Linked DNA regions of Macaca mulatta. The protein of the gene in region 2 binds, or shares a complex with, the protein of the main gene of each other region. Links are inferred from orthologs where the notes say so. Each region holds a gene or a part of one and is shown on either strand. Other genes may lie near its edges. The genes, in order: CCDC8, OBSL1 and MYOM1.

Region 1 (4,390 bases), on a different chromosome or scaffold from region 2:
GTCTTGATCTCTTGACCTTGTATCCACCCGCCTCGGCCTCCCTAAGTGCTGGGATTACAGGTGTGAGCCACCACGTCCGGCCAACCACAGCCCCTCTTTTAGGCCTTTTCTTATTGCAATGAGTTTTCAATGTGTCCAATGGCCGAATTGCCCAGATGTTTGGAAGCTTGATGCAAACAGAATTCAGAGCCACACAGGCACCGCTAGCAAATCCACATCTCTGATGCTGAGGGCCCCAGAATCTGTGTTTTGAACGCATTTTTCAGATGCTTTTACTGTACCTTACAACCAAGATCGGGAGAGGTATGCAAACCAAGGGCCCTGTCCCCTCCAAAGCAGCAGAGTCCAGGGGCATGAGGATGGCAAGCGAAGTGACAACATAAACACAGGTGTCTCCATCTTCAAGGATGGGAGTAGAACGGACAGGAAGGGCCGGGTCACCCCCAGAGCATTCGTCAGTTGCCAAGTCCAAAGCTAAGAAACCAGTTCATAAATGTTTTTTTATTTGCATGTTGGCTCAAGTCCTCTTTTTAAGTCCAAGGAGGCAGTCCACGTTAAGTGTGCAGGCAAAAAAGGGACAGGAAAAGCAGGCAATTTCTCCCCTGCCCTCCCGCTCTCCTTTTATCAAGCTGAGCACCTTGAGTTGCATTTGAGGAAATTAAAACTATAGGTGACAGAACCCCCTTGTATCGAATTCTTTCTTTACATTTTTTGGGTTGCTACAAGGAATCACTATATATATGTATATATGTATATATATATATATATTTTATCAGGTGGTACGTGTGGTGGCTCACACCTGTCATCCCAGCACTTTGGGAGGCCGAGGCAGGAGGATCACTTGAGGCCAGAAGTTTGAGGCTGCAGTGATCATGCCACTGCACTCCAGCCTGGGCAACAGAGTGAGACCCTGTCTCTAAAAAATTTTTTAAAAATCAACGCATGAGACAAAACTTTAACAAGAGAATAAAGAGGGTTGTAAGGTGGAGATGTGGGCAGCACTCCAACTCCACTTTCAAGTTCAGAGGCAGAAAGAGCAACTTTCTCTCCCACGCTTGTAGGGAGGGCCCGTGGGCTGTCTCTAGCCCTCACCTCACAGCTGGTCTTCTCGCTCTCCCTGTTCAGCTTCTGCTCTGGCCTCGGCCCTCAGCACCCTGAGGCTCCTGGCCTCGCCTGCCCTGGGGACTCTCTTGGGCAGGGTTGGCAACCGGGGAGTGTGCCAGAAGGCTCTCCGGGGCTTGCGAAACCACGAAAAGCGTCCAGGGGTCTGGAACCTCACTGTCTTGACCTGTTTCCGGGCCCTGGCTCCTGAAGCTGTTCCTGTGGCCCCTTGGGTAGCTGAGGCTTCAGCTTCCTGGATACCTGGGGCCCCTGCCGTCTGATTATGTGCAGCCTCTGCCCTTTGGCCAGCCCGGGCCTGTGCCCTCTGATTACCTGCACCCTGGACAGCTGGGGCCCTTTCCCTCTGGTCATGTATGGCCTCTTCCCTTCGAGGATCTGTAGCCTCTGACCCCTGGTCAGCTAGAGCCTCTTCCCTCAGGTTATCTGCACCCTGTGGCCTATGGTCAGCTGGGGCCTCTGCCCTCTGATTATCTGCAGCCTCTTCCCCATGGTTATCTGCAGCCTCTGCCCCCTGGTCAGCTGGGGCCCCTGCCCTCTGATTACCTGCAGCCTCTTCCCTCTGGTCAGCTATGGCCTCTTCCCTCTGATTATCTGCAGCCTCTTCCCTATGGTTATCTGCATCCTCTGCCCCCTGGTCAGCTGGGGCCCCTGCCCTCTGATTACCTGCAGCCTCTTCCTCCTGGTCAGCTATGGCCTCTTCCCTCTGATTATCTGCAGCCTCTTCCCCCTGATCAGCCTCGATGTCTGCCCCCCGACCTGTGGGCGCTGTCTGCTCCTTCCTGCGGCGCCTAAACGAGGCCCAGTTGATCTTGGGCCTCCATCGCCTAGGGGAGGCCTGCGGGGCACAGACATCTCCCACATTTTCCACAGGATCCCCGGGATCCCCCGGGCTGGTGCCGGAGGATACCCCTGCGCTCTCCACTGGGATGGAGGCCAGCCGGGCCTCGCCCACCCCGGGGCCCGCCCTCGGCGCCCAACCCTTCACCCTCCGCTTCAGCTTCCCCCAGGACACCTGGCTGACATACTCCCGCCACCTGTCCGCCTTGGACAGCTGAGGCCCCAGGTTGTCCTCAAACATGGGCACTGGCAGGTTGACGCGGCGGCGGGCAGGCGGCGCGGGGGGCTGCTTCTCCTGTCGCCGGAGAAATGCCTCCACCAGTTCCTCATCATCCTCGCTCTCCACGTCGCTTCCCAGGAACTTGCTGCCCAGGTAGCTGACGGGCATTTTGCGCACCTTCTTGCCCCGCCGCGGGCCCTGGCGGCTCTTGTCTCTGGAGGTCTCGAAGTCGCTGAACTCGCTGTCGCTGGCGTTGCTGCTGTCATACGTGCCCACGACCAGCCGGGGCGTAGGAGTCACCATCTGCTGCACTCTCCTCCTCACTCGGGGCTCCTTGGGCTTTTTGGGGGGCTGGGGCGGGTGCGGGGTGCTCTTCTCGATGATGCGGGCCACGTCCTCCAGGGTGCGGCCCTGTTCTTCCAGGAACTGGGTCAGCCGCTCCCGAAATTCTGCTTCCTTGGTGGCAGGCTTAGAGATGACTCTCCAGACGCCCCCGGCCAGCCTGACCTCCCGGGGGATGAGCAAATAGTCGACGTCCTCCCCGATCTGCAGCATCCCCACCGTGGAGTCCTCCTCCTTGCGGAACACCTTGCCGATCTTCTTAAATGTTCCCACGGGTTTTAGGGCTTCCACGAGGACGTCCAAATCCACATCTTTGCAGACATCGGGGACGCTCCAAAGAATGAGGCAGTCGGGGGACGGGAGGAAGCCCCAGGGGAACCAGCCCCCCACGTGGCTTTTCTCGAGAGTCTTTAAGATCTCCAGGGTGATATCTGGGGTGAGGGAGCAAAGAGCCCCAACAAACTACTGTAGCCCTTAGTCTTGAGGGAGGGACTGGATGGGGGGAGTCCCAGCAACGCTGACCGCAGAGTCTCACCTCCCCAGCCAGGGACGAGTCAACGCCTCCAATCTCTTCTCCTGCAACAAGTCCAGTCTTGACCAAGTCCGGCTCCTCCACCAAGGACTTGGGAGAATCAATTTCCAGGATGCCTACGTGAGCCGGAGGCGAGGTCAGTCCCAAGGTTCAAGGCCCACTCCAAGCTGGAAACGTGGTGTCCCAGCTCCAAGTTGGGGCGCGCGGGCTGCCAGCGATTCTTCCTGCCCCAGGCCCCTGGGACGCGGTTGGAACTTGGGAGAGGACTTCGCAGACAAAGACGGTCCAGTCGAGGCTATTCAATATGGCGGAGGCGCTGAGAGGCCTCAGCCCGGCCCCCCAGTAGGGTCCCCCGCCCCCAGGCAGGCCACCACCCAGCTCCAGGCTGACCTTGACGCGCCGCAGCCTGCCAGCCCGCGCGCTTAGGGCTCTGCACGGTGGAGCGCACCAGCAGGAAGTTCCTCCTTGCCCTCCGCCAGAATGAGGCCCACCTTCCCCCGTCTCATCTTACACTCCCAGACTCTGGAAGACTGACAGGGGGGCTGTCCACTCCCTTCGGGGCAGCCTCCTTCCCCTCCCCCACAGGGGTGTGGCCGCGCCTGGGGCCTAGCTGGGCCCATTGCTTCCCAGCGAAGCGGCGGTGGCCCACGTCAGCACCTTTGCTGAAAGGCAGCGGTTCCCAAACCTGCCATCCGAAATGTACAAGTTTCCAGCCAAGTCCTGGAGGTGGGTGTGCCAGTGGATTCTACCTTTTGAGAGCCACTGGCACCATAGATTAGCATTTTAAATTCACGCGACTATCCGTACCCGTACACCCAGACGCGTGGGTAGAGAAATGGGTACCGGGATCTTATTGCAACAGTCCCCCTGTGACGCTTGGCAGGAGGTCAGGGCTCTACATATTTTTGAGTGGATGAATAAACCTGAATGTTCATAGCCAGGCGCGGTGGCTCATGCCTGTAATCCCAGCACTTTGGGAGGCCTAGGCGGGTGGAACACTTGGAGGCCAGGAGTTCGAGACCAGCCTGGCCAACATGGTGAAACCCTCGTCTCTACAAAAAATACAAAAATTAGCCGGGTGTGGTGGTGTGCGTGTGTAGTCCCAGCTACACGGGAGGCTGAGGCAGGAGAATGGCATGAACCCGGGAGGTGGAGGTTGCAGAGATGGCGCCACTGCACTCCAGCCTGGGCAACAGAGGGAGACTCTGTCTCAAAAAAACAAAAACAAAACAAACAAACAAACAAAAAAAGCCAAAAAACAAAACCAAAAAAACCCCACAAATAAACAACAACAAAAAAGCCTAAAAGTTCATGAGTAGATACTGCCTCTATTTTAT
Region 2 (2,524 bases):
ATTGGGGTGTGCTCAGGGTTGTGAGTGTGTTGCCCGTGTGTCTGTGTGTATGTGTGCAGGGGTGGGCGGGCTTGGAGGGGACGCTGGGACCCTTGCCTTAGATTTCTGACTGGTAGGGTTTCTCCAGGCTCAACCCCACCTCCTCACCCCCCGCCGGGGTCCCATGGGCCACCTCCTGCATGTCTCCGCGGAGGGGCTACCTTCCTTCCCATCGCCCTGCCTCCCAGCCAGACTCATCTAAGGGTTCTTGTCCTTGTCTATGGGGCAAACTGTAGCACCCCTCACCGTGGTCCCCTGGCCTCTGCAAAGCCACCAGCCTGAGGGCAGTGGCAGGAGATGGGGGTGGGGGGTGCTGCTCTGGGCTGGGTTGGGAAGGGAGTTGGGGAGGGGCTGAAATGCACGGTGCATGTCTGGTGTCTGTCATGCCAACCTGGACACCTCATGCTTCTGTCTCCCCCACCCCACTCTGTTTTACATCTTTTATAAATGTGCCAAACTGCGTGGCCTCTGCCAGGAATGGTGGTCTTTGGTGGCTGGCACTTTCATGGGCCAGGTACAAGCACTACAGCCCTCGGTCCCCAGTGTCGCTCACTGCACAGAGGCTCCAGGCAAGGTCTGCCCTCCCACATCACTCAGAGAGGCAAGGAAATGAGCTGTAGCACTTTTATTGTCTCCTGACACCTCTGGTTTCCCTGTCTCTCTACCCCTGCCCAGGGTAAGGGCGCACGCCTTCCAAGTTGTCCAAGGGCACCCGCCTGGCCTGGTTCGGTCCTCCTAGTTACCTGCAGAGGAATGACTCCACATGTGGCTGGGGAGAGAGTGGGTACCACCTTTCTCTCCCCTGGCAGAGCCTGGACACCAGTACAGGAAGAGCTGGGGCCCCAGGCTATGCCCTACCCTTTCTCCGTCTTGGTCAGGGCTGTCTTGGCAGCAGGAAGGTGGGGGTCAGCTAGGGATGGGGCACAGGGCAGCACCTGAAGGGAATGCTGGGATTCGGGATAGAAGGTGGGATGTCTCCTACGTGGAAAAGGAAAGAAAGAGGCTTCTGCCGAGGCTGACATGGAACTTGCTGAGATGGGTAGAGGCAAGCTGGGCAGAGGGCAGGAGAGAGGAGGGACAGGCTGGAGGCAGGCAGTGTTGGGGAAGTGGGGAGGAAAGGAACTGGTAGAAACAGGGCTGTTCAAGAGAGACAAACATGGTCCAGTGGCAGGAGAGAGGAGAAGCCTGGCAGGAAGGGGCGTAGAAAGGTGGGAACAGCTGACCAGGAGCAGCTGATCTAAGCCAAGCGGTTCCAGGGCTTTCCAGCCCTAGGTGTGCTCTACCCTTCCCCTCCCCCATCCCCACCTCCGACGTATCCCAGGACCCGTTGCCACCCCAAGTCTTGGAAAGCCAAGTGTGGCTTAACCCATCAGCTCCCAGGCGCCCTCGCTCTCCTGCCTCTGCCCAGTTGACTTTACTCACCCTCTACCAGCAGCCGTGTGTGGGCGCTGTCCTGGCCGGCCTGGCAGCAGTAGGTGCCCTGGTCCTCAGGTCGAACGTCATGGATGACCAGGCTGTGGGTGGGGCCGTGGCTGCGCATCTCATACTTATCTCCCGGGCACAGCTCGGCCCCCTCCCGCAACCAGCACACGTGGCTCCCCGAGCGGGACACAGTCACCTCCAGCACCGCCCGGCGGCCCATCAGAACGGTCTTCTCGCGAGGGGGGTGGCGGCACATCTGGAGAGGCAATGCTGGGGATAGGGGGCAGGAGCTTAAGTTAATAGGGACACGCATGGCCCCCAGGAGAAGAGATGCATCTTCCCTCCCTGCAGCCTCCACTCCTGGCCTTAGCCCTCTATGCCACCAGTCCGTTCCCTTGCACCTCAGACCCAAAGTCTCCTCTTCCCGGGGAAACGCGCTGCCCTCTGTGACCCGACCCAGGACAGCCTCTCGGGGGGAGGGGAAGAGAGAGAGGCAGCGTTCTTGGGGCCAGCCCCAAGTCCGTCAGTCCCATGGCAGGAGACAGAGGATGTACTCTCTGTGGCTCCCGCCCCAGGTGCTTACCCTCCACTTCCAGTAGAGCCAAGGACTGGGCGGGCCCCGCCTGGAAGCGTACTTCACCGGCGTCTTCGGCCCGCAGCTCGCTAAGCACCAGAATGTGTTTCTTCCCTGGGGGTGAGGGGGTCGCTAGCGAGGCCGGAGCCGCCTCTGAGGAGCGCTAGGGACGAAGGTGGGGGCGCAGCAGGCCCCTGGGTCGGTTCGGACACCGTTAGTGTACGCTAGGGTGGGCGGAACCGGGATACCGAGCGGGAAGACTAGCGGTCCGAGACTCGGGGCTGGGGGCGGGGGAAAGACTGGGGACGAGGCTCACAGGGCCGCGGGGCGGGGCCCGTCCGAGTCAGGGGCGGGGCTTGTCCCGGTGGGGCGGGATCTGTCCGAGTCTGGGCGGGGCAGCGAGGGGCCCGAGAGGGTAACCAGGAGGCCAGACCTTCCTGTCTGATGCGGACGCGGGCTCCGGGTCTCAGCGGGCGGCCTCCGAGCTCC
Region 3 (3,649 bases), on a different chromosome or scaffold from region 2:
TATCTTTGCTCTGTCTGATTTTCTAAAGTGAACTTTCCAGACAAACACGCTTTCGCTGCTAAGTATGCATGTCCAGCCATTTGTCCTCTTCACAGTAGCTTAATGTAACTTGCATTCCTTATAAGTGATGGTAGGCTAGAGGGGTAAAGTCTTTTGTCTCCGGTATTTTTCCCACTCTGTTTCAAAAAATCATTTTAAAACCACATCAGCTTAACACTAGCCTACGTGACATGACTCCACCTGGCAGGGCATGAAATGAAGCTTCTTACTCCTAACATCTTCTCCCTGCTCTGTCCACACCAAACTATTTGTCTCTTCCGGGCCAGTCTCAGGAAGTGATCATTTACCAAATAAACTGATAAAAGAAGATGTGAGGCCGGGCGTGGTGGCTCTCGCCTATAATCCCAGCACTTTGGGAGGCCAAGGTGGGCGGATCACGAGGTCAGGAGATTGAGAACATCCTGGCTAACACAGTGAAACCCTTTCTCTACTGAAAATACAGAAATTACCTGGGTGTGGTGGCAGGCACCTGTAATCCCAGCTACTCGGGAGGCTGAGGCAGGAGAATCGCTTGAACCTGGAAGGTGGAGGTTGCAGTGAGCCAAGAGATCGCGCCACTGCGCTCCAGCCTGGGAAACAGAGCGAGACTCCTCTCAAAAAAAAAAAAAAAAAAAAAAGATGTGAATAAAAATTGATTTTCTAGGCTTTATTTCTAGTTCTCCATTATATCTTATACGGTGTCATCACCTATACTCTATTACTGTGTCAAAAATAACATTTCACAACGGTTTTGGCAGTATTAACAATCTGAGAAGAGGATGGAAAAATATGAACATTTGTTGAGTGTCTATTATTATTTGCTGGGACTCATGCAAGGTGCTTTATATAAACCATCTTGCTAAATTCTCCATACAACCCTGCAGAGATATTAATATATCAACGTTTTGGACAAGGAAATCATGGCAGAGTGACTTGCTGAAAGCTGCATGCCTGGGAGGGAAAGAATTGAAAGTCCCACGTAGGCCTGGTCAATGCAGTGGACATGCCCTCTGCACTCACACTGTGCTTCTGGAAAACACCATTTCCTCTGCATGGCACCTGAAAATTCCACTTATATTCTAATAAATTGAGTAAACTTTCTGTCGGCAAGAGATTTTGAATTGAGATTGTCACAGATTCGCAGAGTACTGGGAGATTTTAAATTTAGTTTTACTTCGTAGTAGTATACTTTTGTCAACATGTTAGCCTCACAGTTTTACTTTTGTGTCCAGATTATAGAAGGGTTATCACTGATAAATCCTGACTTTTACTTAAAGGAGAATATCCCTACTGCCCTGGGTCTAACATACTTTTTAAGTGTAGTTGAGTTCTCGTGTGAAATAATTACAAGGTTTTTTTTCCGAAGTTTGGCTTCTTTGTAAACGGAAAAGGCAAGGAGACTATCACTTCGTTTGGCCCTCTAGAGCTGTGCCAACCTATCCAGTATCAGTAGTAATGAGAACTTAAACATAAAGTTCTCTTACTTGGAGCCTGGGGCAAGACTAGCATTGAATATGATCCATCATTACATGAATTGAAACAGATCACAAAGCTCATTTCACATCTCCCTATTGTATGTTGACTTCTATAGAGAATTCCAAGCAAATTCTCCATGGTTTGTTTTGTATTCAGTTAGTAATTCATTCACTTCCTATCTTGTTCAAAAAAGATTGAGAAGTCATTATGTGAGGACACTAAGCTAAAAATCTTTCATCTTCCTCCTCCCCCTCAAATAATAATGGACATATTACTAACATCCATAGTAGGGATTCTCTTATTAATATTTACAGAGAGAGAGGAAAAAACTTAAAATTTACTCACTACATTTAGTCAGAAACAACATGGACTCATCTCGTCTGCCAGATGTTTTAGGAATAGTCCATGAGAAACCCCAAACTTGGCAAATGTGGAATCTTACTCCTCAGCAAGCGACATAGATTTAGATGCTAGGAACTTGCTAACACAATGGCAGCATTTGCTTACATACTGAAGCAATCATTCTTGGAATGTATAATTCTGACGTAAGAGGTCTAAGGAGACTCAATTTCAAGAGAATCCTCGATATAATCAATACACTCTTTCACTAAAACATTTGAGGGGCTTTACAACAAAAGGCATTGAAATATGTTAAAATAATTCAAATATTTTTAAACAACATGAATAAATCACAGCACAGATTCTATCATAAACTGCCACAGTAGGCATTGAACTTGAGATGTTACCACTCCCTTACTATTGTCATCAATTATGAATAATAACGAGTCACATTTATAAATGTCACCACTTCCATCACAAGTTTGATAATTTCTTAGTATATACTATAGGTGCACACATAGTATATGCACACACAACATATATTATCTTAGAAAGAAACCCAGTAGACATAAGGAACCTCATGTACATTCAGAACTTATTCATACTGCAACAACTCCAGGCAGTGCATTACATCAGCAAAGTGACAGAATCCAGATCAAGCTCCTACTCATGTATCAGGGTCACAGGCAAACAAACTAGATCTCATTTGACAATATGGCTTTTCTGGAAAGGAACCATAATCTTTTATTGTAAACAAAATCATGTTTAAACACACTAAGACAATCCGTGAGACGACCTTGGGCAAGTTATCTAACTTCTCTGAACCTCGTTACCATATATCTAAACCAGAAATAATAATTTATCTTGGCCGGGCATGGTGGCTCACGAATGTAATCCCAGCACTTTGGGAGGCCAAGGCTGGTGGATCACCTGAGGTCAGGAGTTCGAGACTAGCCTGGCCAACATGGTGAAACCCTGTCTCTACTAAAATTACAAAATATTAGCTGGGCATGGTAGCAGAAGCCTGTAATCCCAGCTACTTGGGAGGCTAAGGCAGGAGAATTGCTTGAACCCAGGAGGCCGAGGTTGCAGTGAGCTGAGATTGAACCATTGCACTCCAGCCTGGGCAACAAGAGCGAGACTCCATCTTAAAAAAAAAAAAAAGTTTATCTCATAGGGTTTATATGGGGATGAAACAAGATCATGTATGTGAAAAGCACCAGGGCCATCATAGGTGTTATAATTACTGTTATCATTATTATTATTATTGTTATTTGTTAAGGTGAGGAACACTTCCGTACATGAAGCGTCAGCTTCTGATTTACCTGCTTTTTCTATATCGGGTTTTCTTTTGGTGCAGGATACAGTGTCTGAGGTGTGGTACTTTGAACTTAGTAAAAATTACTCAATCTTATCACTGCCATCCACAACATCTACATTTTGCCATTATTGTGTTTTAGTCAAAAGCATGTCAGTGGAATTACAGATACGGAAGAAGAAAGAATTAAAGAAGCTGCTGCTTATATAGCCCAGAGGAATCTTCTTGCTAGTGAGGAAGGAATCACAACATCTAAACAGTCCACGGCATCTAAGCAGTCCACGGCATCTAAGCAGTCCACGGCATCTAAGCAGTCCATGACATCCAAGCAGTCCACAGCATCCAGGCAATCCATGGCATCCAAGCAGTCCGTGGTTTCCAAACAGGCCACGTCCACTCTTCAACAGGAAGAAACTTTTGAAAAGAAGTCAAGGAAAGTTGCGATTCGAGAAAAGGCAGAACGCCTGTCCCTGAGGA

What was found.
Region 1: OBSL1 (region 2) and CCDC8 share a complex: the UniProt entries of both Homo sapiens proteins name them as parts of the 3M complex. The link is inferred for Macaca mulatta from reciprocal best matches to the Homo sapiens genes OBSL1 and CCDC8.
Region 3: the proteins of OBSL1 (region 2) and MYOM1 are in contact, whole or in part, in a crystal structure (PDB 5FM5), measured with the Homo sapiens proteins. The link is inferred for Macaca mulatta from reciprocal best matches to the Homo sapiens genes OBSL1 and MYOM1. Residues at the interface, in NP_056126.1 of Homo sapiens: Pro243, Lys253, Phe255, Val257, Asn258, Gly260, Lys261, His262, Ala263, Lys264, Phe265, Arg266, Cys267, Tyr268, Val269, Met270, Gly271, Lys272, Pro273, Pro275, Trp279, Lys305, Tyr308, Tyr317, Cys319, Ala321, Arg322, Asn323, Ser324, Ala325; in NP_003794.3 of Homo sapiens: Arg616, Pro617, Ser618, Ala619, Pro620, Trp621, Thr622, Gly623, Gln624, Ile625, Ile626, Val627, Thr628, Glu629, Glu630, Glu631, Pro632.

The regions. Positions count from the first base shown.
Region 1 is NC_133424.1:58,899,790-58,904,179, forward strand, and holds the start of CCDC8 (coiled-coil domain-containing protein 8), read right to left. Parts: upstream 2,871-4,390; 5' UTR 2,735-2,870; coding exon 1,094-2,734; 3' UTR 910-1,093; exon of another isoform or gene 483-909; intron 1-482. UniProt on the Homo sapiens protein: Core component of the 3M complex, a complex required to regulate microtubule dynamics and genome integrity. It is unclear how the 3M complex regulates microtubules, it could act by controlling the level of a microtubule stabilizer.
Region 2 is NC_133417.1:124,791,865-124,794,388, forward strand, and holds the end of OBSL1 (obscurin-like protein 1), read right to left. Parts: coding exon 2,469-2,524; intron 2,150-2,468; coding exon 2,045-2,149; intron 1,732-2,044; coding exon 1,462-1,731; intron 783-1,461; coding exon 775-782; 3' UTR 650-774; downstream 1-649. UniProt on the Homo sapiens protein: Core component of the 3M complex, a complex required to regulate microtubule dynamics and genome integrity. It is unclear how the 3M complex regulates microtubules, it could act by controlling the level of a microtubule stabilizer.
Region 3 is NC_133423.1:74,414,163-74,417,811, reverse strand, and holds part of MYOM1 (myomesin-1), read left to right. Parts: intron 1-3,314; coding exon 3,315-3,649. UniProt on the Homo sapiens protein: Major component of the vertebrate myofibrillar M band. Binds myosin, titin, and light meromyosin. This binding is dose dependent.